7 linked regions of the Macaca fascicularis genome follow. The protein of the gene in region 2 purifies or fractionates together with the protein of the main gene of each other region. This does not show direct contact. Links are inferred from orthologs where the notes say so. Each region holds a gene or a part of one and is shown on either strand. Other genes may lie near its edges. The genes, in order: SIRT7, FBL, SNU13, NOLC1, DDX24, DDB1- and CUL4-associated factor 13 and C1QBP.

Evidence for each region.
Region 1: the proteins of FBL (region 2) and SIRT7 purify together in Homo sapiens (affinity purification with mass spectrometry; 3 studies listed by BioGRID, with this or other methods). This does not show direct contact. The link is inferred for Macaca fascicularis from reciprocal best matches to the Homo sapiens genes FBL and SIRT7.
Region 3: the proteins of FBL (region 2) and SNU13 purify together in Homo sapiens (affinity purification with mass spectrometry; 5 studies listed by BioGRID and IntAct, with this or other methods). This does not show direct contact. The link is inferred for Macaca fascicularis from reciprocal best matches to the Homo sapiens genes FBL and SNU13.
Region 4: the proteins of FBL (region 2) and NOLC1 fractionate together in Homo sapiens (co-fractionation; 3 studies listed by BioGRID, with this or other methods). This does not show direct contact. The link is inferred for Macaca fascicularis from reciprocal best matches to the Homo sapiens genes FBL and NOLC1.
Region 5: the proteins of FBL (region 2) and DDX24 purify together in Homo sapiens (affinity purification with mass spectrometry; 3 studies listed by BioGRID and IntAct, with this or other methods). This does not show direct contact. The link is inferred for Macaca fascicularis from reciprocal best matches to the Homo sapiens genes FBL and DDX24.
Region 6: the proteins of FBL (region 2) and DDB1- and CUL4-associated factor 13 purify together in Homo sapiens (affinity purification with western blotting; 3 studies listed by BioGRID, with this or other methods). This does not show direct contact. The link is inferred for Macaca fascicularis from reciprocal best matches to the Homo sapiens genes FBL and DCAF13.
Region 7: the proteins of FBL (region 2) and C1QBP purify together in Homo sapiens (affinity purification with mass spectrometry; 4 studies listed by BioGRID and IntAct, counting the BioPlex papers as one, with this or other methods). This does not show direct contact. The link is inferred for Macaca fascicularis from reciprocal best matches to the Homo sapiens genes FBL and C1QBP.

Annotation. Positions count from the first base shown.
Region 1 is NC_088390.1:88,295,705-88,300,166, reverse strand, and holds the start of SIRT7 (NAD-dependent protein deacetylase sirtuin-7), read left to right. Parts: upstream 1-1,486; 5' UTR 1,487-1,522; coding exon 1,523-1,615; intron 1,616-1,686; coding exon 1,687-1,824; intron 1,825-1,936; coding exon 1,937-2,041; exon of another isoform or gene 2,042-2,885; intron 2,886-3,788; exon of another isoform or gene 3,789-4,462. UniProt on the Homo sapiens protein: NAD-dependent protein-lysine deacylase that can act both as a deacetylase or deacylase (desuccinylase, depropionylase, deglutarylase and dedecanoylase), depending on the context. Specifically mediates deacetylation of histone H3 at 'Lys-18' (H3K18Ac).
Region 2 is NC_088393.1:46,967,157-46,971,881, reverse strand, and holds the start of FBL (rRNA 2'-O-methyltransferase fibrillarin), read left to right. Parts: upstream 1-1,848; 5' UTR 1,849-1,930; coding exon 1,931-1,940; intron 1,941-4,725.
Region 3 is NC_088384.1:9,928,467-9,933,170, forward strand, and holds the start of SNU13 (NHP2-like protein 1), read left to right. Parts: upstream 1-1,565; 5' UTR 1,566-1,648; coding exon 1,649-1,651; intron 1,652-4,704.
Region 4 is NC_088383.1:111,164,259-111,168,202, forward strand, and holds part of NOLC1 (nucleolar and coiled-body phosphoprotein 1), read left to right. Parts: intron 1-77; coding exon 78-243; intron 244-1,200; coding exon 1,201-1,313; intron 1,314-1,437; coding exon 1,438-1,573; intron 1,574-2,201; coding exon 2,202-2,330; intron 2,331-2,538; coding exon 2,539-2,649; intron 2,650-2,756; coding exon 2,757-3,404; intron 3,405-3,862; coding exon 3,863-3,944. UniProt on the Homo sapiens protein: Nucleolar protein that acts as a regulator of RNA polymerase I by connecting RNA polymerase I with enzymes responsible for ribosomal processing and modification.
Region 5 is NC_088381.1:162,066,469-162,070,092, forward strand, and holds the end of DDX24 (ATP-dependent RNA helicase DDX24), read right to left. Parts: intron 3,005-3,624; coding exon 2,875-3,004; intron 1,344-2,874; coding exon 1,075-1,343; 3' UTR 801-1,074; downstream 1-800. UniProt on the Homo sapiens protein: ATP-dependent RNA helicase that plays a role in various aspects of RNA metabolism including pre-mRNA splicing and is thereby involved in different biological processes such as cell cycle regulation or innate immunity.
Region 6 is NC_088395.1:99,228,825-99,232,495, forward strand, and holds DDB1- and CUL4-associated factor 13, read left to right. Parts: upstream 1-1,615; 5' UTR 1,616-1,681; coding exon 1,682-3,019; 3' UTR 3,020-3,113; downstream 3,114-3,671. UniProt on the Homo sapiens protein: Part of the small subunit (SSU) processome, first precursor of the small eukaryotic ribosomal subunit.
Region 7 is NC_088390.1:5,502,310-5,507,053, reverse strand, and holds the start of C1QBP (complement component 1 Q subcomponent-binding protein, mitochondrial), read left to right. Parts: upstream 1-1,773; 5' UTR 1,774-1,868; coding exon 1,869-2,100; intron 2,101-2,683; coding exon 2,684-2,834; intron 2,835-4,744.

The sequences.
Region 1 (4,462 bases), on a different chromosome or scaffold from region 2:
GTTTTTCTGACACAGCGAATCGAGGGCTTTGGCCAAGGCCAGGTCTCTCAAACTTGTCCGCCAAGTAAACCGTGATATATGTCTTCCCTTCCACCTTGACTTTGCCCCAACTCCTCCTTTATCCTAACATGGACACTCAGATTTCAGAGGACTACCCAGCAGGGACAAGTCACCTCTCACCTGGAGAGTGAGGCCCCTGGCTGCTGCTCTGGGTGGCGCTGGTGTTGCTGGGGCTTCAGCTCTTGGTGCACGTTTCAGATAAGCATGCACACTTCTGACCGGTGGTCAGGGCCCGGCCCACGGCTCTGAGCGGCTGCAGCCTGCTTTGGGACGATGGTCAGGTCCCATGTTGTCCCTGCTGCCTCCCTCTGGAGTGGCCACTTGGCCAAAGCTCCCATCCACATCTGGAAAGTCTGAGCTGCGGCCTGCTGCACCGTTTCCGCTCTGGGATCTTGTGAGTTACTTTTTTAGGCTGTGGTTTGGTGAAAGGAACCAACACATTAACGATTTTTCCCCCCAGAAGCCACTGAATAATTCTTTTTGGTGTATTTTTGCCTTCCTGTTGGCTGTCTGGCCTTGGAGCAGGTCGGGAGAGTGAAGTACATAATCAGTGCCACACAGAGGCAGGGCATGTCTGAGACTGATGCCTGTCCTGCCTCTGGCCTGTGTCCTGGGTGTGTGCCGTACCTGCTGGGCCAGTCCCACACATTTCCACCCTGCCCCTGGAGCAGCAGCTTTGATACCATGGGTGTCCCTTGAGTCTGAGCTAGAGTGTGTCCCTGATAAACTGTGAGACCTCCCTGTTCTTGGTGACCCCAGTTGGGCTTTGACCCCTCCAGCAACCTTGTGTCCCATCCCTGCCCTTCCTCCCACCCCCTCAATCTGCTAGTCCCTGAAGCCTTTAACCAAACGGGAGTGGGCACAGAAAGCCTTCTCCTGGCAACAGGACAAGGGCTGCCCGCGTGTCCAGCCCTGTTGCTCTCCTGGCACTGAGAGGTGGATCCAAGCAGAGTTGATCAGTCCCCCTGCCAGCCCTGCCTAGGTCTAGCCAGGGGAGGTTGTGTGTGTGTGGGAGAAGACCCCGGGATGTGCTGGGGTGGGATGGAGGTTATTAAAGATCTAAGTGAGGAGGGGCTGGGGTTTGGATGCGGGGTGAGGCCCGAGCGCTCACACTTCGTGTAGGGCTGGCAGGGGCCTGACCTCGGGCAGGGCAGTGGCCTTGGTGCCCCACCCCTGCCCTGCGCAGTATTTATTGCTAAATTATTGTCCAGGAGGGGCAGCACTGGGCCTGGCCCCCCGGGTATTTATTGCTGTACATAGTGTATGTTTGTGATATATAAGGTTTTCTTTATTTTGTATATGATCAATAAACCTTTTAAAGAGACTGGCAGGTGCTTCTTTGGGGCGACGCGGCGGGCGGAGCCGGAAGAGGTGGGTGGGGGCGGGACCCGTCTTGCGCATGCGCCCTGAGCGCGGCCTGCCGTGTGAGGCGGAAGCGGAAGAGCGGGTCTCCAGGGGAGCGATGGCAGCCGGGGGTCTGAGCCGCTCGGAACGCAAAGCTGCGGAGCGGGTCCGAAGGTTGCGGGAGGAGCAGCAGAGGGAGCGCCTCCGCCAGGTACGCCGCCGTCGCTCCCCGGTCCGGCTATGCCCGGCCCGCGCCGCCGCTCACCGCCCGCCTGCCCGCAGGTGTCGCGCATCCTGAGAAAGGCGGCGGCGGAGCGCAGCGCCGAGGAGGGCCGGCTGCTGGCCGAGAGCGCGGACCTGGTAACGGAGCTGCAGGGCCGGAGCCGGCGGCGCGAGGGCCTGAAGCGGCGGCAGGAGGAGGCGAGTTCCGCGGGCGGCGGCCGCGGGCGCCCCCGGTTTCGGGAGCAGCCGGGGCGACGGGCGGTCCCGGGTGGGGCGGCCCGGGGCGGTGACCACCCTGGCGTCTTGGCAGGTGTGCGACGACCCGGAGGAGCTGCGAGGGAAGGTCCGGGAGCTGGCCAGCGCCGTCCGGAACGCCAAATACTTGGTCGTCTACACAGGCGCGGGAATCAGCACGGTAGGGAGGGAGGCGGGGGCGGACCCCAGGACGGAGTACGCGCTCCTGTAATCGCGAAAAACTCGCCTTTAAAGCAGCTTTAAGGTTTTTTCCCTTTCTTAGAGAAACACGAAATGACCAAAACTTACCTAAGGTAAACGCTTTTTAAACGCTTAGTTTGTGGTACAGCCAGTTAAAAACAGGCAAGGAGCAGAGATACGAATGGGCTGTAGTAGCTGACTGCTCGCAGTCACCCCCAGGTTATGTGGACAGAGCTAAGCCCAAAGCTGTCGTGATTCTCCACTGTGTTCTCTCCATGTTGAGGGAAGATAAGTAGAAAGTGACACAGTAAGAGCCGGAATACACCAGGTGAAGAAGAGAATTGCATTGTGTTTTGAGAAGTTTCACTGACAAGTTATCCTGGGCTGTGGGACATCACTAGCTTTGAAAGTGTAGCTGGCACGTCGTCCATCTAGTCCGATGGGTGAGTGTGGAGTGCTGGGCATGCGTAGGCGTAGCAGATCTGAAGGCCAGGTGATTTCTGTTCTCAGGAAGCCTTTAGGTGACAATCAGGTATGTGAACAAATAAGCATAATGTAAAGCTGGCTGTGCTGAATCACTAGAACAAACCCAGGCACACACTATGTGCTCTTGGAGTTGGGAAACCTACCTGGGTTGGCTTTTTGTGGGAGGTAGCCTTGATTGGGCCTTGAAGGATGGGTGAGATTTACAGGAGAAGGTGGGAATGAGGCACTCCAAGCAAAGAAGAGCAGAGGCTTAGCAGGAAGAATGCATAAAGGGAGTGCACTGCTGACTCAAATACCTGGAGCCCTGGCGTTTGGTCTCCTCCCTCCACAAGTCACATGTAAAAGTCCAGTCACGCTGGGCGCGGTGGCTCTTGCCTGTAATCCCAGCACTTTGGGAGGCTGAGGTGGGCAGATCATGAGGTCAGTAGTTCAAGAACAGCCTGGCCAACATGGTGAAACCCTGTCTCTACTGAAAATACAAAAATTAGCCGGGTGTGGTGGCAGGCACCTGCAATCCCAGCTACTCAGGAGGCTGAGGCAGGAGAATCACTTGAAACTGGAAGGCGGAGGTTGCAGTGAGCCTAGATCGTGCCACTGTACTCCAGCCTGGGCGACAGAGCGAAACTCTGTCTCAGAAAAAAAAAAAAGTCCAGTCATGTAATTATGTAACAGTCATGTGATCTCTTATGGAGCTTGCAATGGCAACTAGAAGCACATGCAGCTTGTGGATTTCATCTGAGTGTAACTGAGGTTTCTATCTTGAATGTGACTGTCCAAACCACTGCCGGGGGATGGTGCATTTTTCTGAGTTTAAGCAGGAGTCAGGAGTCCCCAAAAGGGAACAGAAGGCACCTTGATATCTTCTGTGCCCTCTCTGGCCTCAGTTTGTTTCACAGGATTGAAATCCTGGAAAGTTAGATGCTTATCTCATCTGGAGAAGTTGTTCTGCCTTTTTTTGTTTGTTTGCTTGTTTGTTTGTTTTGAGACGGAGTCTGGCTCTGTCGCCCAGGCTGGAATGCAGTGGCGCGATCTCGGCTCACTGCAAGCTCTGCCTCCCGGGTTCACGCCATTCTCCTGCCTCAGCCTCCCAAGTAGCTGGGAATACAGGTGCCCGCCACCACGCCTGGCTAATTTTTTGTGTTTTTAGTACAGACGGGGTTTCACCATGTTAGCCAGGATGGTCTCGATCTCCTGACCTTGTGATCCACCCACCTGGGCCTCCCACAGTGCTGGGATTACAGGCATAAGCCACCGCGCCCCGCCTATTCTGCCTTTGTTAAGGTGGAGCGGGAACAGTCAGCACTGGGACGTGAGAATAGACAGTTGCCTGCCCCCACCTAGGGATTCACCTTTTTTTTTTTTTTGAGACGGAGTCTCGTGCTGTTGCCCAGGCTGGAGTGCAGTGGCTGGATCTCAGCTCACTGCAAACTCCGCCTTCCGGGTTTGCGCCATTCTCCTGCCTCAGCCTCCCGAGTAGCTGGGACTACAGGCGCCCGCCACCTCTCCCGGCTATTTTTTTTGTATTTTTTAGTAGAGACGGGGTTTCACTGTGTTAGCCAGGATGGTCTCGATCTCCTGACCTCGTGATCTGCCCGTCTCCGCCTCCCAAAGTGCTGGGATTACAGGCTTGAGCCACCGCGCCCAGCAGGGATTCACCTTTTGCTAAATGTGTGAGCCGTGGGCTCGGCCCTGGGGGCACTTAGGAACATGACTAGTCTTCCCCTGCGGTGTGGAGGACACATGTGCCACAGAGCCCAGCTTTGTGCTCGGTGCCAGAGAGGCTTCCGGGGACAGGCAGGGCTGCGTGCAGCCTGGAAGGATGAGCCAGGCCAGGCGGGAAACAGAAGTCCAGGTAGAAGGGAGGAGCCGAATTGGGGTGCACTTCATATGGGCTCAGGCAGGTCAGCCTGTGGAA
Region 2 (4,725 bases):
GGGTAGGTTGTTTTGGAAGTTTTCAGTAACTTCTTATCACAGCAGTTGTCTTGCTTTGCAGAATGAATATAGGGATGGATATTGATATTATACAATTACAAAGCACAAAATTCTTGTTTTTTTCTTTTTTTTTTTTGAGACGGAGTCTTGCTCTGTCGCCCAGGCTGGAGTGCAGTGGCGCAATCTCGGCTTACTGCAACCTCCGCCTCCTGGGTTCACGCCATTCTTCTGCCTCAGCCTCCTTAGTAGCTGGGACTATAGGCGCTCGCCATTACGCCCGGCTAATTTTTTGTATTCTTTAGTAGAGACGGGGTTTCACTGTGTTAGCCAGGATGGTCTCCATCTCCTGACCTCGTAATCCGCCCGCCTCGGCCTCCTAAAGTGCTGGGATTACAGGCTTGAGCTACCGCGTCCGGCCCACAAAATTCTTAATACTTAAGCAGAATCTGTTGACCCCTGACGCCGCTCTCTGCCCCCACTCTGATCTTGTCCATCCTTGTCTCCTTCTGATTCATGGCAGCAGCCAGTCCTTGGTTTTCCTGCTTCCACCCTCACGCCTGCAGTCTGCTTCCCACACGCAGCCAGAGGGACCTGTGTCAGATCACATTCCTTCTCTGCTTGGAACCCTTCCATGGTTCCATCTTACTGCCAAAGTCCTCACTATGTCCCACAAAGCTCCTCACAATCTGCCCTTGTTAGCTACCCGCCCTTATCTCCTCTCACTCTCCATCTTGCTCACTTTGCCCCAATCACCCTCCTCATTTTCTCTCCAACTTCCCGTATCTTTCCTTCCTCAGGGCCTCTGCATCTGCAGATCTCTTCCCTGCCTGGAACTCCCTTCCCCTAGATAGGTGCATGCCTCACTCCTCACTTCCTTCAGCTCTTTAGCTCAAAAGTCACCTGATGCATTCCCTGACCACCATGCCAAAAAAACAAAAATCACTTGCCCTCCAAAATCTCTATCCCCTTTCCCTGCCATGATTTTCTCCAAAGCACTTACTGCCTTCTAACATTCAACATGTTTGGTGTCCATTTCCTCCATTAAAAAGATTAACTCCAGGAGAGTGGAGATTCTTTTTTTTTTTTTTTTTTTTTTTGAGGCGGAGTCTGGCTCTCTTGCCCAGGCTGGAGCGCAGTGGCCGGATCTCAGCTCAGTGCAAGCTCCGCCTCCTGGGTTCACGCCATTCTCCTGCCTCAGCCTCCCGAGTATCTGGGACTACAGGCGCCCGTCACCTCACCTGGCTAGTTTTTTGTATTTTTTAGTAGAGACGGGGTTTCACTGTGTTAGCCAGGATGGTCTCGATCTCCTGACCTCGTGATCCGCCCGTCTCGGCCTCCCAAAGTGCTGGGATTACAGGCTTGAGCCACCGCGCCCGGCCGAGAGTGGAGATTCTTATGTCTCGTACACCGCTGTATTCCCAGCTCCTAGAACAGCGCCTGGTATACATGAGAGGCACGGTAAATGTTTTTCGGATGTATGAATGGAAGCACAGAGTCGGTCACTGTTCTTGGCGCTGGAAATGTGTCAGGGAAGCCGTTTTGGGTGTACAGGGACCTCAGGGAGTTAGAAATACAAAAGAGGGGGCAGAGGGCACAGCCCGTGCGAAGGCCTCGCTATGAGCCCTGATTATTGGGGTGCTCGCACTGCGGAAGAGGAAACCGGAAGCGAGTTTAGGGAGACCGCTGCACAAGCAAAGGCTGGGAAGGCAGAGAGTGAGGGTAACCGGCTTAGTTTCGATAGGCTCGAGAATCCTCGCCCACTGTGCGTGCGCCGAGCTCCAAGCGGGGCAGGGGGCCGGGGCGGGGCTACGTGGTTGCGTCACGCGCTGCACGTCGCCGCGCGCCTGCGCTCTTTTCCACGTGCGAAAGCGCCGGACTCGTGGAGTTGTGAACGCCGCGGGCTCCGGAGCCGCACAAACCCGGGCTCACCATGAAGCCAGGTCAGGCTGGGGTGGGGTCCAGGATCAGGGACGGAGGCCGGGCGGGAATCCGGGTGCCAGGCCAGAATCGGAGGGGTGGGGCCTTGGCCTGGGGGCAGGGGTTCTGAGCACGGATCCGGTCTCATGTGGGAAGGGGAATCCTGATTCCAGGAGGTCTAGGGGTTAGTGACTGGCTTCGGAGGTCACGGTCGTGAGTCGAAGAAGGCCTTGGGCCTGGCACTGGGGGTCTTGACCTGGGGTTCGTCTCATTGAGGCCGTCTAATAGGGATTTTGGATATTGGGCAGGAGGCGGCACTCAGGAGTCTTGGACTAGAGTCTGGATCCCGGCATCTGGAGTCTTGGATAGCTGGGCGTGTTTTGGGAATCAGCCTTGGGTCGGAGATGGAGAGTTCCTGACCTTGGGTCCTGGAGATGTGTGTGGGAAGCCCCTATTTGCCTTCCCTGTCGCTGCCACCACCACCATCCCCTTATCCCCCAACCCAGCTTTTCCGAGTGGGCCGGAGCGGAGGACTCCTCGGTTGGCCGTGTGCGGCACTCTGGCTCACTTTCCCGCCTTCTGCACTTACAGGGGGGCGGATCCCCAGGGATGGAGTGGAGATTTGGGGACTAAGATTTCCACCTCCGGGGCGAGACTTAACAAGCTCGGCATTAGATTGGGGTAGGGGGGTGGGTGGTTGTCACAGGACGTAAGTGGTTTTATTCTTTCGATTTTCCATTAGATTCTGCTGAACCCACTGCCTTCATGGTGGAATGATGAGGGTCCTGGCTTTGACAGCAGAAGGGCCTCAGTTTAGTATTTCAGTTCTGGCTCAGCTTCTTAGCCTGCTGTGTGACCTTGGGCAAGTGGCTTTACCTCTCTGAGCCTCTGTTTTCTCATCAATAAAAAGGCGCCAGTTAGGATTAAGCGACGTTTAAAAAAAAATAGCACAGTGCTTGACATAATAGTATTGGCTCTAGCTGTTGCCTTTATCTTTCTCAAAGAGAACAAAATTAGAATCCTTCTCCGTGGTGTCTGAGCACTTCCTCCATCTGGCCTGCCCAACCCCCACTCGTCTGTGTGAGAACTTGCTTCATTGAGTTTGGAGAATTTTCCACCATGGCCCAAAGGGTCTGTTTTCCTGGAACAGGCTTTATTTTTCTTTTTTGTGTGTGTTTGTGTGGAGAGATTGGGGTCACCTGGCAGGAGATTTGTGGATCCGTGCCCTTCTCCCAAGCTCCCTTTCTCTTCCGTGTTTGGGGGATCTCCTGATGAAGTGGGCTGAGGGATTGTAGGCCAGGTATCTCTCCTATTGAGATCCTGACTTGCCTGCAGGCATCCTGGTCTATGATTACCTCAGAAATGGAGGATACCCCTTCTTCCAACCTTCTTCCGTTGTGTGGTAGAATGTGAAGTTGTAAAAGTTGTCAGGTGTTAGCTCTTTAGTAAGGATTTTAGTCTGAGTGAGAGAACCCTTTGGGAGCTTTTGAGCAGGGGCGTGGTGCAGTCTGACATTTTTAAAAGGGATTCTTCTTGCTTCCATGTGTGAAAGACCTCAGGGTGGCAAATGTGGAAGCAGGCAAATCGGTGGGAAGCTTGTTGCTGTAATCTAGGAGGTGGTGTGGTGGACCAGGATGGAAGCAGTGGACATGCTGACGGTTTTACATGCTTTTGAAGACAGAACCAACAGATTGTATGTGGGTGTGTGAGCAGAGTCAAGGATAACCAAGGGTTTGGGGGTGTGTAGCTGGAAGGATGGAATTGCCATTTTTGAGATGGAGAAGGCTGTGGAAGGAAAGCAGATTTTAAATCAGGGAGTTTGTGGAACCCCCCTTCCCCCCAAAAAAGAACTTACTGGAAAAGTTTGTGTGAACATGTGTTTTTTCTGAGGAGTGGGTACTTTTGGTACATTTTCCCCCAAAAAGCTCCAGGACCTGAAATGAGATGTTTTGAGTATCTGGGATTGAAAGTTGGCCGGGCGCGGTGGCTCAAGCCTGTAATCCCAGCACTTTGGGAGGCCGAGACGGGCGGATCACGAGGTCAGGAGATCGAGACCATCCTGGCTGACACGGTGAAACCCTGTCTCTACTAAAAAATACAAAAAACTAGCCGGGCGAGGTGGCGGGCGCCTGTAGTCCCAGCTACTCGGGAGGCTGAGGCAGGAGAATGGCGTGAACCCAGGAGGCGGAGCTTGCAGTGAGCTGAGATCTGGCCACTGCACTCCAGCCTGGGCAACAGAGCGAGACTCCGTCTCAAAAAAAAAAAAAAAAGAAAGTTTACACTCCTGCCCACTCCGCCCCGTGCACATGCCAGTACTTCCTTTTTATTAGGCCTGGGTTGAGACTTTCATAAACCTAGCTGTGGCATCTCCCCTAAATGAAGGTCCTGGCTTTGGAAAACTGTTGGAGGGTTTGGGCAAGAAAATAATGAGATCTGAGTGCTGTTAGGCACATGGATGCAGCTGGAAACCATCATTCTCAGCAAACTATTGCAAGAACAAAAAACCAAACACCGCATGTTCTCACTCATAGGTGGGAATTGAACAATGAGAACACTTGGACACAGGAAGGGGAACATCACATACCGGGTGCTGTTGTGGGGTGGGGGTAGCAGGGAGGGATAGCATTAGGAGATATACCTGATGTAAATGACGAGTTAATGGATGCAGCACACCAACATGGCACATGTATACATATGTAACAAACCTGCACGTTGTGCACATGTACCCTAGAACTTAAAGTATAATAAAACAAAACAAAACAGAAACAGCACTTATTAGTTGCTGTGTGGAAAGTGGACTGAAGGGGG
Region 3 (4,704 bases), on a different chromosome or scaffold from region 2:
CACAGCACTGAGGGTCCCTGCAGCTGTGATCCTGGGAAAGCAGGCCCTGCACTGGCTCCCACTCAGGGCCATGGAATGGCCCCACCACGGCACAGGCACCCAACAGTGACAACAACATGGCAAAGTTTAGACCAGGCAGATGGTGTTGGGAGCTAGGGGGCAGACCTGGCACATCTGATGCAGCCAGCTGCAGTAGGATAGCTGCCACATCATAGCACCCCTGTCACTGAGGCCACCTCACAAAGCGGGCTGATGCCCCATCCTCAACTCTGACCCTGGTGCCAGGGCTGGCTAGCATGCTCTTGGTGCAGGTAAGGACAGTATTGGGGAATTGCTCAAAAGTAATTAAGAGGAAGAACTTGTTTTAAACAACCCCATCCTCTGGAATGAAGAGATTAAGTTCCCTGAATGTGTGATGGGGTTATATAACCTGCAGTCTGCTTGATTTCTTTCTTCCTATGAGATACTTGGATCTGCCTGTCCTTCTATCTATTATCAAACATTTAATAAACACTGTATTGAATACAGGTATTATTGTTTAACCACTCAGCATCCCTTTCTCGTTGCTTGCAGTATCCTGATTTCCCATGGGGTAATTACTTTTCCCATCTTAGGATCAGTGTTGGTGGGAAAATAAATGCTACCCTGAAGACTCTTTTACCCAAAGGTTCTATTCAAAATAAATATCTGAGCAGGCAGGGACGTCAGCCAATCATAATGAGCCAGGACTTAACCGTTTAGTGGCTGAATTTTTTTTTTTTTTCAGACCGAGTTTTGCTCTTGTTGCCCAGGCTGGAGTGCAATGGCGCAATCTCTGCTCACTGCAACTTCCGCCTCCCAGGTTCAAGCGATTCTCCCGCCTCAATCTGCCGAGTAGCTGGGATTACAGGCATGCGCCACCACCCTCGGCTAATTTTATATTTTTAGTAGAGACAGGGGTTTCTCCGTGTTGGTCAGGCTGGTCTCGAACTCTCAACCTCAGGTGATCCGCTCGCCTCAGCTTCCCAAAGTGCTGGGATCACAAGCGTGAGCCACCGCGCCCGGCCTTGTTTTGTTTTGTTTTGTTTTTTTGGTCTTTGAGTCTCGCTCTGTTGCCCCAGCAGGAGTGCTGGAGTGCAGTGGCACGATCTCAGCTCACTGCAGCCTCCACCTCCGGGGTTCAAGCGATTCTCCTGCTTCAGCCTCCCAAGTAGCTGAGTTTGCAGGCGCCCGCCACCACGCCTGGCTAATTTTTGTATTTTTAGTAGAGACGGGGTTTCGCCATGTTGGCCAGGCTGGTCTTGAACTCCTGTCCTCAAGTGATCCGCCCGCCTCGGCCTCCCAAAGTGCTAGGATTACAGGCATAAGCCACTGCGACCGACTGGTGGGTTATTTTTTGAATCTTTAATTCATTGTTTCTGCCAATAATTTGTACTGGACAGCTCATAAGAACGCCAAAGTACGTTCCTTCATCAACACAGAGCCAGTTTCCGCGCCAGTGCCCCGTAGGGGGCGGGGCCCGCTAGCTCGCTTGCGTAGCGTCATCTTTGCTTCCTGCCGCGCGGGGCCATTTCCGCTGCTGCTTCAGTGAGTTTTTCCGGTGGAGGCGAACGCTGCTCAGAAGTCGGCTGCGCTCTCCTAGGAGTGCCGAGCCCGCGGAACAGCAGCCATGGTGAGTGCGTTCGCCGGCCAAGGGACCGGGAAGCAGGAGACTCGGGGTTGCGTTCACTCCCTGGCCTGTTAGATGAAGGCTTAGACCCTGCGCCGTCTCATCCGCCGGCGCTGGGTCTTAACCGCCGGGCCCTGAGTTAGAACTCCAGCAGCCGCGGGTTCCCAACAGCCTGGCCCGAGGTTAGAACTCAGGAAACCTCAGGATCCCCGCTGCTGTGGTGCTTTGCCGCACGATCTGTTTGCGTGGCAGAAGGTCTGCGGCGAGCGGAGGGGGCATGGCCTAGCGGGAGAAAGAGACCAACCCACGTGGGAGAGGGCAAAAAGTTGGGTGAAGAAAATTTGGCTCCAACTTTTTTTTCCCCTTGTTTCTTTAAGTACGAAATCTACGATGGCGTGGGACCCTGGGATTCGGATCAACCTCTCCTACCCACCCTACCTCACCCCACCCCCGTTGCTGGGGTCCAGGAGATCTCCTGTGGGTGTGCGCCTAGTGCTCGCCGCGAGTCACACGCGCCAGGGACCTAGAGGAGACTTTGGCAATTGGGGGCTGTGGGGAACATGAAGTGAGCGCGACTCACGGCCTGGAGCGCAGGAAGGGCTTCTCCCGCAAGGTGGTGGCTTCAAAACCCAGAAGTCTGGTAGCACCACGTGCGGCGTCTCTGAATTCTTGGTCGTCTCTGACTTTTAAATATCTAGGGAAAGTTCTAAAACGTGTGTCCTGGCGTAGTCGTTTTGGTTGGCACTTGGTGAGGAGGGAAGAATTTGCAAAGCACTGTAACGTCTATAGTTAATCCTTCCAGCGGAGCTTGGATCCCGGCGGTAGCACTCCCCCCAAAACCTCCTCCCGTGCATTTTGAAGCTTAGTGCGTGGCTGAGCCTAGAACTCGAAGCTTTCAAACTCAGTGCTCGCTTTTATGCAGTTCCCTGAAACGTTTTGGAATCGGATGGTCTCAGGTTGAACTTTGCAGTTTTCCTCAACTGTAAAATGGGAATGACAGTGCATCAGGATGTTGTGAGGATCAGATGAAATAAAGCATGTTAAACATCTAGTCCTCATGCTTGGCACAGAGTGAGCACGCAGTATTTGTTGTCCAATCAAAACCTTGCAAGTTTTGGCTGTCTGGTGTACAGGGAAACCAAACTGATCACGCTAGGTAGGGATTTAGGTTGGCTGGTGGTATGCTATCATTCATTAATTTATTTAACCTCTGAAGAAATTGAAAGGCGAATAAATACACCCTAAGCAAGTTTCAATTAGTGTTTATAAGCTAGGTAGTTTGGTTTTAAAATTGAGTTTAACTTTTTGTTTACTAATAGTGAAACATTTAGGTATTTGATGGCTGTTCAGATTCCTGAAGTTTTCCTCTTATGAATTTGATATTTATTGAGAGTTGAGGATCCTGATTTCCAGAGAATGGGTTGTTGGAAACAACAGCAATTTTAAAAGTTTTTTTAAATTGACATATCATAGTTGTATGTACTTTGGGGGTTCCACGTAATATTTTTAAGTATATCTATTTTAAAATGTGGGACAGGGCCAGGCACGGTGCCTCATGCCTGTAATCCCAGCACTTTGGGAGGCCGAGGCGGGTGGATTATGGGGTCAGGAGTTCAAGACCTGCCTGGCCAACATAGTGAAACCCTGTCTACTAAAAATACAAAAAAATTAGCCAGGCGTGGTGGCGGGCACCTGTAATCCCAGCTCTTTGGGAGGCTGAGGCAAGGAGAATCGCTTGAACCTGGGAGGCAGAGGTTGCAGTGAGCCAAGATCGCGCCACTGCACTCCAGCCCGGGTGACAGTGTGAGACTCCGTCTCAAAAAATATAAATAAATAAAATAAAAGGTGATAAATTATTAACCAAAATTTCCAGCCGGGTACGGTGGCTCACACCTGTAATCCCAGCACTTTGGGAGGCCGAGGTGGGCGGATCATGAGGTCAAGAGTTCAAGACCAGCCTGACCAACATGGTGAAACCCCATCTCTACTAAAAATACAAAAATTAGGCGGGCATGGCGGTGCGTACCTGTAATCCCAGCTACTTAGGAGGCTGAGGCAGAAGAATCACTATTCCGGGGAGGCAGTGGTTGCAGTGAGCCGACATCGTGCCACTGCACTACAGCCTGGGTGACAAAGCAAGACTCTGTCTCAAAAAAAAAAAATAAAATCCCTACTGTAGTATCAAATAAAACATATTTGTATGGCCGGATGTGGTGGCTCACACCTTTAATCCCAGCACTTTGGGAGGCCGAGGCAGGTGGATCTCGACTCACTGAAACCTCTGTCTCCCGGGTTCAAGCGATTCTCCTGTCTCAGCCTCCCAAGTAGCTGGGATTACAGGCACGCACCACCACGCCCAGCTATTTTTTGTTTTTGTTTTTTAATAGAGACAGGGTTTTGCTGTGTTGGTCAGGCTGGTCTCAAACTCCTGACCTCAAGTGATCTGCCTGCCTCGGCCTCCCAAAGAGCTGGGATTACAGGCGTGAGCCACCGTACTCAGCCTAAACAATTTTTTTTTTAATTAGCCAGGTGTTGGCCGGGTGCGGTGGCTCACGCCTGTAATCTCAGCACTTTGGGAGGCCGAGGCGGGCGAATCACAAGGTCAGGAGTTGTAGACCAGCCTGGCCAACACGGCAAAACCCTGTCTCTATACTAATAATACAAAATTTAGCCTGGCATGGTGGCGCATGCCTGTAATCCCAGCTACTCGGGACGCTGAGGCAGGAGAATCTCTTGAACCCGGGAGGCGGAACTTGTGGTGAGCTGAGATTGTGCCATTGCACTCCAGCCTGGGCAACAAGAGCGAAACTCCATCTCAAAAAATAAAAAATAAAATAAAATAAAATTAGCCAGGAGTGGTGGCCCACACTTGTAGTCCCAGTTACTGAGGTGGCTGAGGCAGGAGGATCACTTGAGCTCTGAAGGTCGAGGCTGCAGTGAGCTATTGTCATGCCACTGCACTCTGGCCTCAGTGACAGAGTGAGACCCTGTCTCAACAACAAAAAGGTAATTCTTTTTTTTTTTTTTTTTTTTTTTGAGTGGAGTTCCACTCTTTC
Region 4 (3,944 bases), on a different chromosome or scaffold from region 2:
AAATAAAAGGAACATAGGATGCCCTTTGGGTACCTAGAAGCTTTTGTTGATTTCTCTCCTTGTGTCTTTTCTAACAGAAGGGAGTTAAGCCCCAAGCCAAGGCAGCCAAAGCTCCTCCTAAGAAGGCCAAGAGCTCTGATTCTGATTCTGACTCAAGCTCCGAGGATGAGCCACCAAAGAACCAGAAGCCAAAGATAACACCTGTGGCAGCTAAAGCTCAGGCTAAGGCCCCTCCCAAACCAGGTACTGTTTCTGTTCCCAAGAGGCTGGGCTGGGAACCAGATTGCTCTGGGGACTTGTGTTAAAACTGCTGATTTGGCACAGGGGTGAAATGGTACTGGTTGTTGAACTGGAGGTATTGATTACTGGTCTTTTAATTTTAAAGGTTTTACTAATAACAAGATTTCATAGGAGCTAGTAAATAGAGAAACAGTTATTGCAGCAAGGAAAAATGTATATTTTTTAAAATGATATCCATTTGGTATTTTTTTGTGACATTTCATAGACATTTTATGTTCTTACACATCCCATTCCACTGTAACCACTTAAATATCTATTTGTTGTGCTTTTCACTGCCTTTTTTATTCTTGTACGTCATTCTATGAGACAAATGAGAATTTTTCTTTTTTTCTGTAACTTGAGGGTTAGGTTATTTCTCTGAATGGAGGTTGAAGTGAAAGATTTTAGAGGGCATATTGAGATTATTTATGTCATCTTTTCTTAGTTTTATTCCTGCCATGGGATAGGAAAGGCATCCTTTGATGTGGTAAACCATGGCATTCTCCTTGATGGCTGCTCTAAAGTTGAAAGAATTGGTGGACTCCTGGCCAGGCACAGTGGCTCACGCCTATAATCCCAGCACTTTGGGAGGCTGAGGCAGGCGGATTGCTTGAGGTCAGGAGTTCAAGACCAGCCTGGCCAACATGGCAAAACCTTGTTTCTACCAAAAATAAAAAAACTAGCTGGGCATGGTGGTGGGCACCTGTAATCCCAGCTACTCCGGAGGCTGAGGCAGGAGAGTTGCTTGAACCACTGCACACTGCTCTGTGCGACAGAGTCAGAGCCAGACTCCGTCTCAAAAGAAAAAAAAAAGGGGGGGAATTGGTGGACTTCTAAGTTCTCTGCTCATAGGAAGGAGGTTTTTCATGGTCCTGACTTGCCCTATTACTCCTTACTCTTTCTTTTTCTTGGGTATTCCAGCTCGAGCAGCACCTAAAGTAGCCAATGGTAAAGCAGCCAGTAGCAGCAGCAGCAGCAGCAGCAGTAGCAGTGATGACTCAGAGGAGGAAAAGGCAGCAGCCACCCCCAAGAAGGTCTGGGCCATAACTTCGGTCAGGGAAGAGGTGACCAGGGTGGGGTGTGTGTGTGTCTCCATTCCCTGGCAGGATTGGTTGGATCAGCATTTTCCTGTGGTAATCAGTTTTCTTTCCAATGCAGACTGCACCTAAAAAGCAAGTTGTGGCCAAGGCCCCAGTGAAAGCAGTTGCCACCCCTACCCAGAAGAGTTCCAGCAGTGAGGATTCCTCCAGTGAGGAGGAAGAGGAGCAAAAAAAACCCCTGAAAAATAAACCAGGTGACTGGACATGGAGAGTCAAGCTGTATGACTGTGGTCAGGGCCCAGCTGCAGTAATCACATGGACCTCTCCATAGAGCTGCTTGAGCGTCCTCATGACATGACAGCTAGCTTCTCCCAGTACTAGTGATCTGGGAAAGCAAGGAGGAATCTCCAGTGCCTTGTATAACTTAGACTCAGAAGTGACACCGTGTTCTGTTAGAACTGAGTCATTGGCCGGGCGCGGTGGCTCACGCCTGTAATCCCAGCACTTTGGGAGGCCGAGACGGGCGGATCACAAGGTCAGGAGATCGAGACCATCCTGGCTAACAAGGTGAAACCCCATCTCTACTAAAAAATACAAAAAACTAGCCGGGCGAGGTGGCGGGCGCCTGTAGTCCCAGCTACTCGGGAGGCTGAGGCAGGAGAATGGCGTAAACCCGGGAGGCGGAGCTTGCAGTGAGCTGAGATCCGGCCACTGCACTCCAGCCTGGGTGACAGAGCGGGACTCCGTCTCAAAAAAAAAAAAAGAACTGAGTCATGATTCTGGCCTATACTCAAGGGGAATTAAGCTTCATTTCTAGAAGAAAGTAGTATCAAAAAATTTGTAGACATATCTTAAAACCATCATACTATCCTTTTTAAACAGGTCCCTACAGTTCAGTCCCCCCACCTTCTGCTCCCCTACCAAAGAAGTCTCTGGGAACCCAGCCTCCCAAGAAGGCTGTGGAGAAGCAGCAGCCTGTGGAAAGCAGTGAAGACAGCAGTGATGAGTCTGGTGAGTCAGAGGGATGCAGCCTCCCCTCAGTGTGGGTCTGGAGAAGGGGATGAAGAATAAGGGAGAGAGAAAGCCTTCCATCCCTCCATTGTTTTTTGCTTAAAGCAAGACAGAGCTATGGCTCTGTGTGTGTCTTTGCATTCTTTTTATTGCTGTCCTGGTTGGGTTGGGACTCTGGACCCAGCATAATGCTACAGGTTCTCCTCAGATTCAAGTTCTGAAGAAGAGAAGAAACCCCCAACTAAGGCAGTCGTCTCTAAAGCAACCACTAAACCACCTCCAGCAAAGAAAGCAGCAGAGAGTTCTTCAGACAGCTCAGGTAAGGCATATGGAGGCCCTCAGTTCAGTGAAATGCTCTCAGGCAGCTGCTAAGGGCTCCCCTGAATCTGAATTGGGGAGCTGTTGATCCCATCCCTCTGTGTCTAGACTCTGACAGCTCTGAGGATGTTGAAGCTCCTTCCAAGCCAGCTGGTACCACCAAGAATTCTTCAAATAAGCCAACTGTCACCATCAAGTCACCTGCAGCAAAGCCAGCTGCAACCCCCAAGCAATCTGTGGGCGGTGGCCAGAAGCCTCCGATGAGAAATGCTGACAGCAGCTCCAGTGAGGAAGAGAGCAGCTCCAGTGAGGAGGAGAAGAAAAAAAAGACGGTGGCCACCACTAAGCCCAAGGCGACTGCCAAAGCAGCTCCGCCTCTGCCTGCCAAGCAGGCTCCTCAGGGTAGTAGGGACAGCAGCTCTGATTCAGACAGCTCCAGCAGTGAGGAGGAGGAGGAGGAAGAGAAGACAGCTAAGTCTGCAGTTAAGAAGAAGCCACAGAAGGTAGCAGGAGGTGCAGCCCCTTCCAAGCCAGCCTCTGCAAAGAAAGGAAAGACTGAGAGCAGCAGCAGTTCTTCCTCTGATGACTCCAGTGAGGAGGAGGAAGAGAAGCCCAAGGGCAAGGGCTTTCCCAGACCACAAGCTCCCAAGGCCAATGGCACCTCTGCACTGACTGCCCAGAATGGAAAAGAAGCTAAGAACAGCAAGGAAGAGGAAGAAGAAAAGAAAAAGGCAGCAGTGGCAGTTTCCAAATCAGGTCTGTACCCAGTAAACATGCCCTCTGGGTTTTGTCCCCCCAAATCAGGATGGGATATACTCTTTGAGAGTAGGGTAGTGAGAGGAGGCCCACCACTGGGCTTCCAGTTGTGGAAACTGGGAGGAAGAACAGGAAACTGGTCTTTTTTTTTTTTTAATAGAATCTTACTCTGTCACCCAGGCTGGGGTGCAATGGCATGATCACGGCTTGTGCAGCTTTAACTTCATGGGCTCAGGTGATCTTTCCACCTTAGCCTCCTGAGTAGCTGGGACTACAAGCATGCACCACCATGTCTGGCTCATTTTTTAACTTTCTATAGAGACAGAATCTCACTATATTGCCCTGGCTGATCTCAATTTCCTGGGCTCAAGCAATCCTCCTACCCTGGCCTCCCAAAAGGCTGGGGTTACAGTTGTGAGCCACTGCACTTGGCCTGAGTCTGGCTTTTTGTTTTGTAGGTTCATTAAAGAAGCGGAAGCAGAATGAGGCTGCCAAGGAGGCAGAGACTCCTCAGGCCAAGAAGATAAAGCTTCAGACCCC
Region 5 (3,624 bases), on a different chromosome or scaffold from region 2:
GGATACTCACCTACACTGATGCAGACAAAGCTGGGGCAGCACCAGGAAGTCCCTAGTTCTCTGGGCACACATTTATACCAGGCTGACCAAGCCTTGAGTTCCTCTTCTCCCAAGGAGCTCAGCTAAGGGAACACAGCACGGCAAGTGCTATGAAGAGGGTAAGCATGGGATACTAAGGGAGCCCCAGGAGAAGCACTGCCCCCACTTAGAGGCTCAGGACTAGAGGATCCATAGCAGTGCTCTGGGATGGAGAAGACCAAAAGGCAATCCAGACCGATGGAAAAGCCTATTCTGCACAAAGGCTCAGGACAAGAGAAGGGGTGCATGGAACTGTGGGCAGGAGCCTGCTCTGTCACAGAGGAGGGGAGTGGAGACAAGGCTGGGGCTAGATCCTGAGGGCTTCACATGTCAGACCTGTGACTGTTACTGTTGACTCTGTGATGTGAGGGAAGCCTGAAGACAGCAACCTCATTCCTGCCCACCTCCCACAGTGGCTCAGACAATAGCCAAGAGTGTGGGAGAGAACTAAGGAGCTATTAGGGTGCTGCTCTGGGTAAAGCAGGAACATGTGCCTCTTGAACATTCCAGCCTCTTGCTCCATCCACACTGTCCGATCTTGGCCTGCAGCCAGAGGCCTGACACTATTCCTGTCTTTTCAAGGGCTTAGCACTGTGCTGGCCCAGGAGAATCATCAAATTAATAATGAAACAAACGACACCATGCCCCCAACCATCTTCTAGCTAAAAAAAAAAAAAAAAAAAAAAAAAAAAAAAAAAAAAAATTCAGGATGACACAATGGCTCCGACCATTGTTTTTAATTTATGAAATCAAGTTGAACACACAAGAAGCCTATAAACACTGCAATACAGAAAAATTAAGCTGCTGCATAGAATTCTTACTCCAAAACAATGCAAATCTGCATGAGGTCTCTCCCGCTATGGGTGTGAGAGGAAGAGAGGGAGACATTTTTACCTGGGGTTGATGGTGGAGTGAAACACAAGGGTGGGAGAGGTTTTGCAAATAGCCAGAGAACAGAGAGCAATGTGCAGTCACTAACACACTTGACCAGGGCAGTTAATTTGCACTTGTACTTGGCTGTGGCTGTTCCGGCTGCGGCTCCTTTGGCTTCTTTGTCTTCTTCTGCTGCTTGGAGAGACAGCTTAAAGCAGACTCGCGCTTACTTGGGGCAGACACAAGCAGGGGCGGCTTGCCAGACTGAGTGGGATACTTGGTTTTCTGGCTCTCCGTAAACAGCGGCTGGGAGAGCAGGTGGCGCAGCTCCTTCTTCAGAACCTTCATCTGCTTTTGTCTCCGACGCTCTTCTTGCTGGTCAGCTTTTCCTCCTTGAAACACAATACAAAAAAGATCCTATTTACTATGGTTTGTAGAAACATTTTGTTTCCCTTGATGGATAACACAATGAAAAATGTTTTAGAACTACTTTAGGGAGGCAGGGTTCAAAAGTTCTCTGAAGAAGCCAGTGGTGGCTTGGCAGGGGCTGTAAATGGATAACATCTAACCATCTGCGGGGGATACGCAGGACCGCTCTGTCCTTTTACTTCATAAAAATCCTCCAAGGCTGGAATTATGTTTATAGATGAGGCAATGCAGGCTTAGAGAAGTCACCTGGCTCACATCACAGAGCCAGCCATCAGACAGAGCCCAGAACCCAAGTCTCCTGACTGAAGATCACTTTTCTTCCTATGACCCACCCACTTACTGCCCACCTAGGGTTTGGTGACTTCACAACTACAACCACCCACTGCCCCCCGCCCCCCGCCCCCCAGGAGACACTGAATGCTTCCTTGTAGCCCAGCTGTCCTGTGCCTTGCCACCAGTGCTGTGACTGCACATGGAGAGGCTGGAAGAGCCAAAGGGTTCCACCTCAGCCTGTCTTTAGGAAGGGAAGCCGGGCCCAAGCCCCAACCCTGAGCCACCAGGAGGACCAGCTCACTGTCATCAAGCCCACTGGTTTGGCTCCTGGCTTCCATGCTGAGCAGACAGCAGTTAGTCTGTCTCTGAATTTGCTGACTTGGGCACCGAGGTGTCAACATCTCTGCTGAGCCGCATCCCTGGTGGTGTGGAAGGAGCATGCAGTTCTAGATTTGGTTCTACCACTTCTTAAGACTCAGGAGCTTTCTCGAGCAGGGACCGAGCAGACTCATCCCTGAAGCCTCAGCCTCTGGTCACATACAGAGTAGCAGCTCAGGAAATGCCTTGTGACAGAGCTGTTGCCCTGCAAAAAGTGCCTCTGCTGTGAGTATCTAGTTCCCATATGTAAAAGGAGAGTAATTCCTGCTGTGTTCATGTCATGAGAGTGGAGAAGATCAAATGAGATAATGGCATGGAAGTGCTTTGTCAGCTTGGAAGGCAGGTGTAGTAGGAACCATAATGACAAGTAACTTAAAATGTAATACTTTCTATTTGCCAGGCAATACCACAAGCACTTAACATTTTTTAACTCAATCAGTCTTCACAACAATCCCATGAAGTAGGTAGTTGACTACTTCCATTTTATGGCGGAGAAAACTGAGACACAACAGAGGTTAAATAACTTGACTCAGTAACATAGTTGAGGCAATGAGCCGGCATTCTAACACAGGCAGCCTGGCCAGAAAGCCTGCTCCCTTCCTCACTGTACTCCACTGCCTGTCCATGTAAGAGGAGGCAGCTAAGGGCACAAGACAGAGACAGAGGAAACAAAGACTGACAGAGGCCAGTAGGCTCATCTGGGACTAGGGCCTGTTAGCAAAGAGGGGGAAGGACGTCTTGCTGATTCTGACAAGATCCACAGTAGTAGAGATGGTTCCAACAAGGCAAAAGTTAAAGAGAGATTTCAACTTCCTTAATTCCCAATCCCGCCCAAGGGCTTACCCTTATACATGTCTTCTTCCAGCTCAATCTCCAGGGCAGCTGCTGCCTGCTCAATCCAAGAGTTGTGCAGGCAAGCCTGGAAGTTCCGATACTCAGATTTCTCAATCTGTCGAGCTAAACGGATTCGCTCCTGGGGGGAAGTAACAGAAAATATTCACCTGAAACAGAGTTCAGGCCTCTGGGAAGCAAAGCCTCACTTGAGTTGTGTTTGTGTGTTTAAGGCAGGTATCACTCTGCTGCCCAGGCTGGAGAGCAGTGGCACGATCATGGCTCACTGCAGCCTCAACCTCCTTGGATCAAGCGATCTCCCACCTCAGCCTCCCAAGCAGCTGGGAGGCACCACCATGCCTAGCTATTTTCTTTTATTTTTTTTATTTTTATTTTTTGTAAAGACAGGGTCTCACTGTGTTGTCTAGGCTGGTCTTGAACTCCTGGGCTCAAGTGATCTTTCCACCTCAGCCTCCCAAAGTGCTGGGATTACAGGCGTGAGCCACCATGCCCAGCAAGTAGTGTTTTTAAAAAGCTCTTGAGCCAGGCACGGTGGCTCACACCTGTAATCCCAGCACTTTGGGAGGCCAAGGCGGGCAGATCACCTGAGGTCAGGAGTTTGAGACCAGCCTGACCAACATGGAGAAACCCTATCTCTACTAAAAATACAAAAAAAATACAAAATTAGCTTGGCATGGTGGCACATGCCTGTAATCCCAGCTACTCGGGAGGCTGAGGCAGGAGAATCGCTTGAACTTGGGA
Region 6 (3,671 bases), on a different chromosome or scaffold from region 2:
GAGATCCCAAAAACATCATGTAATACCAGGGCTTCCTGCTTTCCCAAGAAATCTAGAATATTTTGACCTCTCTTGAAGTTGATGGAAATTAGCCCAACGGCTTTTTTAAACTTTATTCTTAGAGCTAACCCTTTTTACTCAATTCTATCACAGGCTCACAGTAATTATCCAACTGCTTCACTTAAACAGCTTCATCCTCTTGACATTAATACTATTATAAGGGAAGTAGGATATGGTTGCTATTTGCAGGGGGTTTCCAAGATTACCACCCAGATAAAATTTCTTTGTATTTGTCCTAGTAATCTCATATGCCTCCACACCACAACAACAATATACCAAGGTACTAGGTGTTTGTTTAAATATTTTTCTTATACTCTTTATAGTCCTTCTCCTTTCCTGTCTCCCTGAATTCCCTATATGTTGCCACCTTTAACATGTCGGGCTTCATCCTGGTTACTTGGATATCTCTCCAACTAGCATTAACACTTACAATGAACCTTACTCTGCCAAGTCTTATGGATTACACTGTACTTGAAGGGACTCATAAGCTATTAAGGAAAGAACATTCTGTGTGCAAAGGATTGTTGGTTTTGCTTACTATGAGTCTCTGCAAGGTATGATTCCACATTCCCTATTTATACTCAGAATTTCATCCCTTTTAACACCACCTTGTATCCCAAATTCCTGTTTCCCCACTCCCACAGGAACCTAAAAAGCATACACAAGGCATGGTAGCTTCATTCTCTGCCTATTTAAGTCAATACGCAACCAAGCTAAAAACATAAACCCTCTCAAAGGACAGGTTTCCTGACCCAAGAAAAAATCCCCTGTTGTAGACCCCCTTTTTAAACAAGTCCAACTCAAACATTAAGCTTCTATTTTTTTTTTAAGCAACAGAAAACAAACATTACTTCAACCCTGTTGGTTATGTTCCTAAACCCCTTTGCAACTACACTGTAAGTATAAATTGTACCAATAGAAAATATGTGTCGGGGGAAAATATAATTTGGTACCAGTTAGAATATCAGGCCTAGCCAACCTCAATGCCCCAAGTCTCCAAAATATAAACTGTCACTTCTGTACAGTGAGGCCCTCTCCAGACACTTATCCTGATGTAACTCCTTGGCAAAATTGCAAGGTTATGAATTCCCCTAACAATTGCCTACAGATTCTCATGTTCAGCAACCCCAAATCTCAGATTTTTCTAGACTCTCAATGTTTTCAGTTATTCTGGGAAAACAAAATCCACCCAAATGCAAACTATAATATCCAAGCCTTACAGCCTCTTAGAACTGCTACTCTAGCTGCTTCATACTTCTTCTTCAGGTCAGAAGGGCAAAACACACTTCGTTTCTTCACTCTAAGTTTAATATCTTGCCTTAAATCCAAGGAAGCATTCTTCCTCTGAGAAACAAATGATGTTTTTGGGATCTCTGTAAATTATAACCTTGAAGTTCATTTCTCCTTGCTTTGGTGATTGGTAATTTAGAAATTACAGTTACAAACAAGGTCATCAAGGATAAAATATTGTTTAGGCATCTGGTTTTTAGAAATTGTTCTAATTGGTTATCTTTGCAGAAAATCCGAGTGAGGGAAGTTTTTACTGAAAAGTCTTGGTAGGCGGCGGTGGGCGGAACTCGTACCGGAGAGCTCGTGGAGTCCGGCCGTAGGAGCAAGCAAGATGAAGGTGAAGATGCTGAGCCGGAATCCGGACAATTATGTCCGCGAAACCAAGTTGGACTTACAGAGAGTTCCGAGAAACTATGATCCTACTTTACATCCTTTTGAGGTCCCACGAGAATATGTAAGAGCTTTAAATGCTACCAAACTGGAACGAGTATTTGCAAAACCATTCCTTGAGTCTCTGGATGGTCATCGTGATGGAGTCAATTGCTTGGCAAAGCATCCAAAGAACCTGGCTACTATCCTTTCTGGGGCATGCGATGGAGAGGTTAGAATTTGGAACCTGACTCAGCGAAATTGTATCCGTACAATACAAGCACATGAAGGCTTTGTACGAGGAATATGTACTCGCTTTTGTGGGACTTCTTTTTTCACTGTTGGTGATGACAAAACTGTGAAGCAGTGGAAAATGGATGGGCCAGGCTATGGAGAGGAGGAAGAGCCATTACATACGATATTAGGAAAGACAGTCTATACTGGGATTGATCATCACTGGAAAGAAGCTGTTTTTGCCACATGTGGACAGCAAGTAGACATTTGGGATGAACAAAGAACTAATCCTATATGTTCAATGACCTGGGGATTTGACAGTATAAGTAGTGTTAAATTTAACCCAGTTGAGACTTTTCTCTTGGGAAGTTGTGCATCTGACAGGAATATAGTACTGTACGATATGAGGCAAGCTACTCCTTTGAAAAAGGTTATCTTAGATATGAGAACAAATACAATCTGTTGGAACCCTATGGAAGCTTTCATTTTTACAGCAGCAAATGAAGATTATAACTTATATACTTTTGATATGCGTGCACTGGACACTCCTGTAATGGTCCATATGGATCATGTATCTGCAGTGCTTGATGTGGATTACTCTCCCACTGGGAAGGAGTTTGTGTCTGCTAGTTTCGATAAATCTATTCGAATCTTTCCTGTAGACAAAAGTCGAAGCAGGGAGGTATATCACACAAAGAGAATGCAGCATGTTATCTGTGTAAAATGGACTTCCGACAGCAAGTATATTATGTGTGGATCTGATGAAATGAACATTCGCCTGTGGAAAGCTAATGCTTCTGAAAAATTGGGTGTGCTTACATCACGAGAAAAAGCAGCCAAAGATTATAACCAGAAATTGAAGGAAAAATTTCAGCATTATCCTCATATAAAACGTATAGCTCGTCATCGACATCTACCAAAATCTATCTACAGCCAGATTCAGGAACAGCGCATCATGAAAGAAGCTCGTCGACGAAAGGAAGTGAATCGTATTAAACACAGCAAGCCTGGATCTGTGCCAATTGTGTCAGAGAAGAAGAAACATATAGTGGCAGTTGTAAAATAATTGGTATTCCTAACAATCCTGATGTATAATTATTTGTTACTTTTGATTTGAGAACTCTACAAATAAAAGTGCTGGTACTAGAAAAAAAAAAAAAGTCTTCCAGCCAACTGAACTAGAACTTGTACACTAGTTTACTTAGCCCTAGACATCCAAATTGTTCCTTCCAGTCAATTCCTCCCAATCCCACTTTACAGTTCTAGCAGAGAAAGCCGAGCAGTACATTTGATTGCCCTAGGGATTGCCGTTGGATTAAGTATGGGAATAATAGGTATGAGCCTCACAGCCCATACTTATATACCCTCTCAATGGAACTCCCCACCAACTTCAAACATATCTCGGACACCCAGGAAGTCCTCCAAAATCAGGCCAACTTACTAGCACAAATTGTTCTCCAAAATGGCTATGGCATAAATCTGCTTATAGCAGCCCAAAGGGGTATTTGTTTGGTCCTTGAAGGGGAATGTTGTGTTTATGTTAATCAATCGGGAATAGTGCGGAACCATGTCAAAAAAGCTCAGGGAGCAAGCTGCTGAAATAGGAAAAAAAAAAAAGAAAAAAAAAAGCATCACAAGAATGGTCTTCGTGGATATCTACTTAGGGATGGTTCTCCTGGTTCCTCTCCTTTTTGGGCCACAAACAGGTATTTTATTAT
Region 7 (4,744 bases), on a different chromosome or scaffold from region 2:
CATTAAAAATGAATCTTGTATATGATGTGTATGGCTTGTTTCTTGGGTCTCTTTTCCATTATTCATAGAAAATTATTTAGAAAATATTAAGTGTTAGTCTTATCATGAGTTAGTAAGACACACCTTCTTAGTAGCTTGTATATCCTGGGAAGGTAGGATTGTTGGTTCTTAATCTAAATCTGAACCCCATTTCTGGGTTCTATGAATTTAGTGGAGCAGCTCACAGAACTCAGGGAAACACTTTTACCAGTTTCGTATAAAAGATATGACCAAGGATACAGATGGAGATGAGCAGGGTGGGGAATAGGGAAGAAGCTCCGAGCTGCCACGTCCTCCCTGGGCCACCACCCTCCAGGAACCTCCGCGTATTCAGCTATCAGAGGCTCTCCAAACCCTGTCCTTGGGTTTTTATGGAAGCTTCTGGACCTATCTAAATGATACAAGCCGGCTTCTTGTCCCCAGAAAAATGATGTTCCATTAGAACTTGGATGCAGGGTCGGAGGTGCAGAGAGGGAAGGTCACAGAAATTACTCATGGATCCTGCCCTTCAGGATGTCACAGTCTGGTTGGGTTTAACCCGGTTAAAACCAGCAATGCCAGGAGGTTTCTGTTGAAGAGAATGAAGCCTAAGGGCTGGGTGCGCACAAGCATGAGTTCTAAGCCGATGGAAAAAAGGAGGTTCTAGGAAGGCCTCTTTCAGGAAAACCCTGACCTCTTCCTTTGCTCTTACAACAATCAGCACAGAAGAGTTCTGTGACCAAAGGTTTGGGTTTTTTCCCTCCACACTAAGCAGCAGACACCAGCGGGGTGTCCTCCAATTCAATCCCAACATTATCTACCTGGAGACAGTGTCAGATCCCATGAGACAGTGTCAGATCCCATAGGTTGAGGGCTCAGTCCCCAAGACCGCCCCGACCTTCAGACAGCAATGGCAAGTCTGGGCCTCTGAAACTTCCGACCAGCCCGCTTCAAGTGGGGGTTCCCACGACCCCCCTCTTTGGGTTGTATTAACTCACTGGAGCAGCTCACAGAACTCAGGGAAACACTTTTACCGGTTTCATATAAAGGATATTACCAAGGATACAGATGAGGAGATGAGCAGGGTGGGCAGTGGGGAAGAAGCTCCGATCTTCCTCGCCGTCCCTGGGCCACCACCCTCCAGGAACCTCCACGTATTCAGCTATCAGAGGCTCTGCAAACCCTGTCCTCATGGGTTTTTATGGAAGCTTCTGGACATCAGCATCCCTTCCCCCAGGGCATAGGGTGGGACCTTCTCTGGGAAGGGACTTAAGACCCATAATCAGAAATGTGGGAGATTAGAGTCCTGCATTGGGGCGGGTGAAAGGAGGGCGGGAGAAGGGGAGAGTGAGAGTCTGTTTCCTGAGGCCTAACACACCCAACATTATCACAGAACACTGTAACGAGGGCTATGGGAGTTACGACCCAGGAACTGGGGATGAAAACCAATAAATACATAATATAACACCACAGCCTCCTAGAGGAAAGTGACCGTGTAAGGGGCTGGTGAGAGCTGGGGGAAGACAAGAGTGCATTCCACACAGCCCAAAAGCCTGGCGTGCCTTGAAAACAGTAGGTGGAAGCGGCCACTAGAAAGAATTAAACAGCTTCGGACAGAGGACTCAGGCCAGCGCAGCAAGAAGGCTCCGGAAACCGGATTCGAGGCTTCCCGGGCTGCACCGGAGGCCTCCAGCAGAAGGCGCGATTCCGCCTGGGGCCTTAGGTCCTCAGTGCGCCGGCGCGGGAAGCGCTTCCGGGCAAGGGCGGGGCTTCCGGCGGCGCTTTAGGTCGCGGGGTACTTGGGCCTGGATTGTCCTTTGCATCTGCACGTGTTCGCAGTGGATTGCGCGATGCTACCTCTGCTGCGCTGCGTGCCTCGTGTGCTGGGCTCCGCCGTCCCCAGCCTCCGCGCTGCCGCGCCCGCCTCGCCTTTCCGGCAGCTCCTGCAGCCGGCGCCCCGGCTGTGCGCCCGGCCCTTCGGGCTGCTCAGCGTGCGCGCAGGTTCCGAGCGGCGGCCGGGCCTCCTGCGGCCTCGAGGACCCTGCGCCTGTGGCTGTGGCTGCGGCTTGCTGCACACTGAAGGTGAGGTTCGCGCACGCGGGCCAGGGGTGTGGTTTGCGGTTCACGGAGGGGAAAAGACCAGGAGTGGGGCCTGCAACCGACCTCCGAGGTCTGGGACATTTTTCCATTGATTGGCAACCAGCGGGTTAAACCCACGTGTGATCATATTCCCCCCACCTCCCCTATCCACCAGTTTCATTTTCTGTTGGTAGGGGGGTGAATAAAATTAAATACTAGAGGGTACCTTCATCCTTAGTCTTATTCTCTCGAAAGTGGACTTTTGGGAAAGCCCAAGGTCGTGTTTGAAAATAGCATACGATACAACTATCGTTTGGCAAGTGGAAGAGGATGATCGGAAATTCTTCTGCTTTATAGCGGAAAGTGGTAATGCGTTCATTGTTGGAAATCACTTTTCCAGCATCAGGCTCAGCTTCCCACTAATATTATGGTATTTTTACAGATAAGGAAACTGAGGCTTCTAGAGTAACTGTAATAGCAGAGAGATTAGAAATAGTCCAGGTTTCTGGCTGCGATAACCAGGGTAATAGTTTTATGTTTTAGACTAACTGGCTTTCCTTTTTATGTATATGGATTTCTTTTCTAGGAGACAAAGCTTTTGTTGATTTCCTGAAGGATGAAATTGAGGAGGAAAGAAAAATCCAGAAGCATAAAACCCTCCCTAAGATGTCTGGAGGTTGGGAGCTGGAACTGAATGGGACAGAAGCGAAATTAGTGCGGAAAGTTGCCGGGGAAAAGTAAGTACTGGTCTGGGGATCCCAGGGCACCGACTCCCTTAACCTTGCAAGACCCGTCCTGGGTCATCCCTAGAAGAGCCTTGAGTTCAGGTGTGGATAAATGGTTTTCAAGAGAGTGAAGGATTCAATTGGACAGCTTCATAAGGTCCAGGCAGTCCATTCACTGAACACAAATTTGCTGTGGGCTGGTTACTAAGGAGACAAAAATGTAGCGCAAAAAAGTACTGACAGAATCTGTTTGATCTCTGATTTACAGCGCTGATACAGTAGCACCCTGCTCTCTCTAATGTTTAGCTTGGGTGAAAATGCAAGGCATGTAACTTATATGTAACAGGATGGGGTTCCACTGTAGTAAGGGCTGCCATCAGAGGCGGGGAGTTTGTGACCTAAGTCAGGTGCCCCACCTTCTCCTAAACTGTTAGTGTTTACACTTTTCTGCATTATAGTCATCCATAATCTCATTACACAGATAGACATTTGTCATCTTCCAGATTTTTAAATTGAGGCTGGGTGCAGTGGCTCACGCCTATAATCCCAGCACTTTGGGAGGCAGAGACGGCAGATCATGAGGTCAGGAGATCGAGAACATCCTGGCTAACACTGAAACCCTGTCTCTACTAAAAATTTTAACAGGGTGTGGTGGCAAGCACCTGTAGTCCCAGCTACTCAGGAGGCTGAGGCAGGAGAATCGCTTGAACCCCCGGGTTTCAGTGAGCCGAGATGGCGCCACTGTACTCCAGCCTGAGGGACAGAGCAAGACTCCATCTCAAAAAAATAATAAATAAATAAATAAATTGAATTTTCTTTATAATTGACCTTATGATGTATATGTAATTCTTTTTTAAAATCACAGCTTTAATGTGATTTAATTTATATGGCATAAAATTTACCCATTTATTGAAGTTTATTAAATTAAGTGGTTCTTAGTCCTCACAGAATTATGCATCGGTTACCACTACCTAATTCTAGAACATTGTTGTCAATCCCCAAACAATACCTATTAGCAGTCACTCATTATTCCTCCCTCTAGCCACCCCAGGTAATCACTAAGCTACTTTATGGATTGCCTCTTTTGGACATTTCATATAAATGGAATCATACAATTTGTAGCTTCCTCCCCACCCCACGGAGTCTTGCTATTACCCAGGATGGAGTGCAGTGGCACGATCTTGGCTCACTGCAGCCTCTGCCTCCCGGATTCGGACAATTCTCCTGCTTCAGCCTCCTGAGTAGCTGAGATTACAGGCATGCGTCCAGTTAATTTTTGTATTTTTAGTAGAGATGGGGTTTCGCCATGTTGGCCAGGCTGGTCTCAAACTCCTGACATCGTGATCCGCCCTCCTCGGTCTCCCAGAGTGCTGTGATTACAGGTGTGAGCCACCCTGCCCAGCCTGTTTACATTTTTAATTGTTGGGTTGTAAGAGTTCTTTAGTTTTGACCGGGCACGGTGGCTCACACCTTTAATCCCAGCACTTTGGGAGGCCGAGGCAGGTGGATCACAAGGTCAGGAGATCAAGACCATCCTGGGTAATGCAGTGAAACCCTGTCTCTACTAAAAGTACAAAAAATTAGCCAGGTGTAGTGGCGGGCGCCTGTAGTCCCAGCTACTCAGGAGGCTGAGGCAGGAGAATGGCATGAAGCCCAGAGGCAGAGGTTGCAGTGAGCCGAGATCACGTCACTGCACTCCAGCCTGGGCGACAGAGTGAGACTCTGTCTCAAAAAAAAAAAGAATTCTTTAGTTTTTCTGGGTATAGTGATCTTACCAAATTAATGATTTGCAAGTATTGTTCCCCATCTTGTGGGTTTTCTTTTCACTTTCTTTGTAATGCCCTCTGACACAAAAGTTTCTGATTTTGAGGAAGTTCAGTTTACCTATTTTTTTGGTTGCTTGTGCTTTTTTTAGTGTCACA